Oryzias latipes: one gene and its partner. The protein of the gene in region 2 interacts with the protein of the main gene of each other region in a biochemical or structural test. Links are inferred from orthologs where the notes say so. Each region holds a gene or a part of one and is shown on either strand. Other genes may lie near its edges.

Region 1 (3,929 bases), on a different chromosome or scaffold from region 2:
ATGCATATATATAGGATAATCTTTTAGCTATTTACACGAATAATGCTGAGTATGACCTTTAAAAACAGATGAGTGTAGATAAGACATTTGAATAGAGTTGGAAACATGTAAAAAAAAAAGCTATTTTTTTGTTCCTGTTCCTTAAATGCAGTTTGAAAAGAAAGTTTTATTTCTCTGATGTTCATATGACATTTTGACTTAAGTAAAAGAAACAAAAGGTTAACAGTTTAGCAGCGGCGCTAGAATGAAAACCTCAGAATTTCAGATTCAAACAATCCACATATGATGAACCAAAAAGATGAGCCAGAAAAACACAAGTGAGCGAGGCAAAGAAACAATACGAAGCGTGACAGTAGAAACAGTCATTGGAGTGTTTTTGTAACAGTTTTTTCCTTCTTTGTTACACAAGAACCTTCAAAGTGAATGTTTAATTAACAGAATTAAATGCAAAAACCAAAACTGTGATACTGACAAATACATTTTTAAATCCCTTTTTTTGTGATAATCACAGAAAAATAATATGCCAATCTATATTTATTATATACAAACCCGGTCGACCTAACATATTAAAGTGTGGTTAACAAACAAAAACTAAAGAAATATCTATATATTCTTATGAACTCTGTAGCTGAAGGGAATTTGGATTCACCTGAAGGAAGCTCACTGTGCCGAACGGAGTCTGGATTGGCTGCATCTGCGGGTCTTCTGTGAGCAGCATATGCTGGATCCGAGATTCACTGTTATCAAGTGGACTGTGCCATGAAACATGGTCACCACTACAAAAGGTGTTTTCTGTAGAGAGGCAGTTTTTTATTTTTTAGTTCAACCAATGCGGTTGGAAGTTAAGACTGTCATGAGATCAAGTCTAGTACATCTGGGTCTGTGTTTTCAAACTCATTCCTCATTCCTTTACTTTACTGTATCACTGCACAGAAATATAAGAATAACAAAATCAAGGCAATAAGAACCCCAAAAAATGACATAACAAAAAGGATGAGTAGAAAATCAGAAGAAAACAACAAGAAAAACTAAATAAATGGCCTTCATCCATCTGAGTGAATGCATCTGCTTGGGTGGCAACAAGCTCCCTATCTGGACTCAGAAGAGAAGCAAAGGGGAGGATGGTCAGAAAAATCAGCAATCATTCTGTTTAGGAGCCCACCCACATCCAAACTGACCCCAGCTGGAAATGAGAGCCTAGAGTAAACGGCTTCCCCTCCTTTGTGTCTACCCCAACTCAGCCACATTTTTCTGATCCAGGCTCAGAAGAAAACTAGAAACCTGATAACATAGCATTTCAACTCTTGATGTTTACAGGAGCCACAAAACTCTATCTTTTTTATCTTTGAAATAGAATAATAAAAAAAAACAGTTCTCAATAAATAAAAAAATTGATTTCAACTGGAAGACCATATGCCAAGAAAAGAATTGCCTTAAAAAGTAATCAACGTTCCTAAATTAAATGGATGTATAGTTAAAACGAATAACAGAGCTAAATACTTAAACGCCGTACTAGCAGCAACCAGTTTCACAAACGGTTTTATGGATTTTAATGTACATCAAGAACAGGAGTCCATCAAACTTTCAAAATTGTTATCCATCCATGAGAATGTATGTTTCAGCATCATCTGAATGCATGTGGACATTGAAGGAGCACCAGATTGCGATTTTTACCTGACTGGAAGACATATCGTGCCAATCCTTGCATGAGTTCAGCTGGCCATGTGGGAGGTGCAGTCTCTCCGACCTCTCTTTTGAGCCTAAAGGTGAGCTCAAAGCCAAACCCACTAGGTCCATCTGCCCCTGTAAATCTGAAAAACGTAAATTTGTGTATGTTTTTATAAACAGCAGGGCTTGCCTTGGTAATCTCTGCATTGATATATACAGATCAAAACATATGGCTAACTATGGGGGGGGGGGGGGGGGGGTGCAGTACCATATCAACATTTGGATTAATCATGATTTTAATAGCATGTCAATAAATTTGCAAAAACTTACTCGTGAACACGATTATCGCCATATAAGTCACTCAGGCCAAAGCTCACATAGTGCCAATGCTCCTGAACGTCCTGAGCAGGACGGCCCATGTTTCTGTACATGCTGATGTAGTCTAGCGGGTCTGGCCCACCAAGCCTAATGTATAGACAACATTTCATTTATTAAAAGCAAGTTTTCCATTAAGATCAATACATGATGCGTCAAAAAACTACGTTTATTCCAAAACCTGTCATGTGTACCTAAACTGACTGAGAGATGAAAAGATTTTAGTGTTATTATTTACACTTTTTTGTGCTTTATTTAACAATAAAACTTGGTGCTAAAATTCCGAATTCCATCAAAATAACATCCTTTGTTTGAAGAAATCTCCCAAATGTTAGCTAAGTTGTTTAGCTAGGCTAAACTTTTTCTCTGCTAATGCTAGCTATCGCTTCATGAAGAACACACACAAAAAAGTCTCTTATAAAGATTTTTGTCAGATTAAAAATAATGGTTTGTTACATACCAATATTTTACAATGGCAGTAACTTGCAGCGGGTTGGCTTGGTCGGGATAAAGTCGCCGACATTCCCCATAGATAGCCTGCAGCCCCGGAGGAAACAGTGGTACCAGCCCGTGGGCTGGCGCACCGCTAACAGGCCGTATCTCGTCCATACCACGGCCTCAAACAATCCAGAATTATCTTTGTAAGACGAAAAAATAAAGATAAACAAATTCAGTTACTTTTCAGGACACTAAAATAAAGAAATCTCTCAAAAGCAAGGCGTTGTGTAACAGTGAACTCTCCTCGTTGTGCTAAACTCAGGGGCCTGTTGCTCATTGTCCACAAGGGGTAAAAAAAAAAAAAACACCAAACAGCTGGTTGGCCAGGGAGGATGACGTCACAGATCGACGCTTCTATCCACCAATAGGAGTGGAGCTTTTTGAGCCGCTGTGTCGGACTTAAAAAAACTGTGGTCAAAAAATTATTGTTGTCATTTTTATTATTATAGTTTTCAATTAACCTATATGATGCAACTATAGTAGAGGCCAGTGCTTATGCGGACGGATTGATGTTTCATTAGGTTTTTACTCATAGGGAAATGTACTCCAACAGCAAAACAGATATACAAAATATATACCTGATGGCCTCCATATTATTTTTTTTTGTATCTAAAATTGGTCTTAAATAATTATGACCTCATGGCAGCTATTATATTATTCTTTTATTATAAAACAGAACAAATTTCAAAAGAGTGATGACATTTAATGTAAATCAACACAAAAGGCGCCAAGAATCCAAGTAGGGAGCTTTGGATTTTTTTTTGTGTGAATGAATTAACCCTAAAACAACTAGACAAAATCAATAAAAATGTTTTTTTTTTTTTTTGCTGTGGGGAGTAATACACACACTGTTTCTGAATGTGCTCAAATTGGAGACACTGAGGATGAGGGATAACCTTTCCTTCTGCTCCGAATGAGCATGAAAGTGAAATAATAAAATATAACCCCACCATAGAAGGATATGTCAAAATTGGGCTGCACGCTGGTGTAGTGGTCAGCACTCTTGTCTCACATCATGAAGGCTCTGCTTCAAATCCCAGCTATGGGGCTTTTCCAGGTCTTCTCTGGGAACTCCAACTTCTTCTTACCGTACTGTCTAAAAATGTGCTTCATAGGTTAATTGAAATGTCTAAATTGCCCCTTAAGTGTGTGTGACAGAATGGCAACCTGCCCAGCGCATACTTAACCTTTGTCCATCAAGGCTTCAGCAACCGTCTAACCCCAAAAGGGGGGTTTAAAAGATGTACGGATTATCAAAATTATTATAAAAACACAAAACATCCCCACCTGCCTGTCATAAATTCCTTTGGTATTAAGATTTGTTCTTTAATCACACAGAACGTTGCAGATGAACAGCTGTGTAAATTGTAGTCAAATCTGTTTTTTGA
Region 2 (3,118 bases):
CTGACATGAAAAACACTCCACAGATGTCCATTTCATCCTCAGACTGTCCCGCATCAAACTGGAAAATGTGCATTTTTTAACCAGCCCTCATCAACACATCCTGCAGACTCCTAATTATCGCTCTGTGGTCTAAATTCACTCGTGCCTCATCAAGAAAGATTACAAGACCGATTTGAAAGAATAAACCTGTTAAGCTTAAACCAATGAGCCTCAAGTTGACAAAAACTGTGCTGACAACACAAAAACTCAATCTGGGAACCTTCACAACCTCCAGTGTTTGATCAGCAGAGATGAGACGACCAGATCACATTGAACAGCAAAAGCGCCACTTGAAAGGACAATATCGGCAAAGAATGGAGACAGACTGAGTGACAGCTTGTTAGCTCTTTGAGGCCTTTGCTGCCTCGCTGGGCAGCAAGCTGATGTCTCCTCACTTTGTCTCAGATGTGGGTTCCGTGTGATCGTAAATAGTCCCGACTTTGAAAGTGTCCCTTAACAGAGATGAAGGTTGACTGTTGTGTCATGGAGCGCAGTACAAAAGCCATTACAAATGCATTGCTGTCTGTAGAAAAAGAGATGCTCATTTGTCAGAAAAACCAGCTCATTTTGGAGGTCAATTTGATCACCGTTATGATGATAAAGTGTAATCAATATAAAGGAAAGTTTAGAAACTGCTGGCGACGTAGAATAAAGCGGAAAAGGGATCCGTCTGTCATTCTGAGTGCACTTTCAAGCCCGATTGAAGACACGCTGAAAGAAGAGGGGAAAAAAGCTTCAAGTTGTGGGTTTTATTCATCATTATGTAAATCCAGTCATTTATGGTTGTCTTAAGAGATCAGAAATAAAGTGAGTCAACATCTAGCAGAGAAAACAGTGCGCACAGGGATTACAAAAGAACAGAAAGAGATCAAAACAGGAAGGAAAGAGAAATCCTCCGTTGAATAAAGTCTACAAATCCTGAACAGGGTTAAATGCTTCAGATTTCAACTCTCCACCCTGCTGAAAAAGTTTACAGTTCTAGTCAAAGTCCAATCCAATGAGCTTTAGTTTCCATGTGAGTGACAGCGAGAGGTGACTGAGCCCAGAGCGGACTCACGCTGTACAAAAATACCCTGGCCGTTTGAATTCTTTCACTGTACACTACATAGCTTTTATATAATAAAGGAAAAACGTTCACCCAGACACGCATACTCACGCCGTTTCAGGCCAAAGCCACTTTTCTGCTGCTCCACGTGGAAGAGAAAAAACTGCTTTGCTACACAGCTAATGTTACAATTATGTTTAAACCAAAAGTTGACTAAATAAATCTAATGCAGTATTCATGTCTGTATATATTTATATAAATATGTGCATATATGTAGACCAAACAATATGAATAAGGTTTCTTATAAATCAGTTAAATATGTCTTTCTGAAAATGGGTTTTTGCTTTTTTTTGGCAATAAACCAATTAAGGTCACAATTTTTTTTCTATTAAACTTTGCCTTTGACCCAGGTGAAGGTCGTGTCTGTCTCAAGATCTCTTTAATACTTAATGACTAAAAGTAAAGCCAATTTCCATTTCTGCACTGGATTAGAGGCAGAATAGTCAATGAACCAAATTTAACTTCAACAGAAAAATATTGTAAACACACTGAGTCCCTAACTCTGCAAAAACATTAACGTTAAACACTACTTATGTTCAATAAACAAGGTTTTTAATGAACAGAGAAGTAAAACACATTTTCTTTAAATGGTGAGGTGTAGAGCCGTTCACGTTGATGCTGTTGTGTTGTACTTCCTTGCTCTGTAACAGCTGGATTGTGAGTCGCTCCACAAAGAAAAAACCTTCTCATCCTCTTGTAGATAAAACTCATTTTTCTTCAAGTCTGAAAAAATTCACTTATTTCCCCGACTGATTAAAACTTGGTTTTCTATAAGTATCATCAAAAGCTGTCAAAAATTAACTCCCTCCTCTGCATGCAGACGCTTCAGAGAATTTAAAGACACTTTACATTCTTAACCTTTACTTCTAATAACATGAGCTTGTGTTGCTTCTGGTCTGAAGAAAGATCATTTTAAGTTGAAAATATCAAGATAGGAGATCAGATTCAAACGGACTGATGTTCCGTCTTGTGTGTCACTACAAGATCACATGCACGTGGTGGTAGTGAATGAGAAGCTGACGTGACAGAGCCCAACAAAATTCAGTTTTTCTGCGTGCGCGTTTGCGACTCGTTGGTTGAGGTCCGGTGTTAGCTACGAGGAGTTTGACGTGTTTGGGCTCCAGCCCATTTGATACGCTCTCTCAAGGGTCCTCTTGCAGTCCTGCATCACCGTGCTGAACACAATGTGAGGATACTGGACCACCAGCCTCTCCACCGTCTCCTCGTTCACCTGCAAAACAAAGAACCACATCCACATTTTGGTTTATTATATCAAGCTTCATTTGCTCATCTGTTTTCCAAGGCTTTTGGACATATTTTATATCACAGAGCCAATAGTGTCTTATTTCTCTTAATTAAAAATGCAAAGCTTCAATATTTGTACAGTTTCTACAACCCCTGCTAGAGATATAAACCAACTGGACTAATTAAAATGGCATTGACTGCAGCTTTATTTATTTAAGCAAATACAAATATAAGTGTTTTTTGCAACCAGTATCTGTGTGCTCATAGTAGTGTAGTAATTGTAGTTTTCCTTTGTGTGATAATAGTTTAAGACAAAATCCCCTTTTTTTAACTTAACTTAAAAACAAAAAAGACAATGTCTCTATTACACTTAGCTTTAAAAGAAAAAAAAAAAAAAACATTTTATATCTTTATTTAATCAGTTGATGCTTTTTCCTGACAGGTTAACACAATATGTTGAGCTTTGTGGCTAAATATAGCTGATGATCTGTTTATTAATGTAAACAGCTCTGTGTTTCACAGCTTGTTTTAATGCCTGGTTCTTTTTTTAAAAAATGAAAAAGACACATACCATGCATTGGGAAACAAAAGAAATAAAGCCAATAAAAACACACAAAAACGTACATTTCAAGACACACACAGTGAAGAAGAGGAAACTAAAAGACATATGTTAAGAAAACTTGAATGAAAATGAAAAGTACAAGCACTACAAAAAGGGGTACAATCTTG

What was found.
Region 1: of the proteins of fbxl17 (region 2) and sufu, one has a biochemical effect on the other in vitro, tested with the Homo sapiens proteins (2 studies listed by BioGRID, with this or other methods). The link is inferred for Oryzias latipes from reciprocal best matches to the Homo sapiens genes FBXL17 and SUFU.

What each region holds. Positions count from the first base shown.
Region 1 is NC_019873.2:23,439,323-23,443,251, forward strand, and holds the start of sufu (suppressor of fused homolog), read right to left. Parts: upstream 2,834-3,929; 5' UTR 2,653-2,833; coding exon 2,504-2,652; intron 2,134-2,503; coding exon 1,999-2,133; intron 1,812-1,998; coding exon 1,675-1,811; intron 793-1,674; coding exon 650-792; intron 1-649. UniProt on the Homo sapiens protein: Negative regulator in the hedgehog/smoothened signaling pathway. Down-regulates GLI1-mediated transactivation of target genes. Down-regulates GLI2-mediated transactivation of target genes. Part of a corepressor complex that acts on DNA-bound GLI1.
Region 2 is NC_019867.2:8,013,817-8,016,934, reverse strand, and holds the end of fbxl17 (F-box/LRR-repeat protein 17), read right to left. Parts: intron 2,376-3,118; coding exon 2,238-2,375; 3' UTR 774-2,237; downstream 1-773. UniProt on the Homo sapiens protein: Substrate-recognition component of the SCF(FBXL17) E3 ubiquitin ligase complex, a key component of a quality control pathway required to ensure functional dimerization of BTB domain-containing proteins (dimerization quality control, DQC).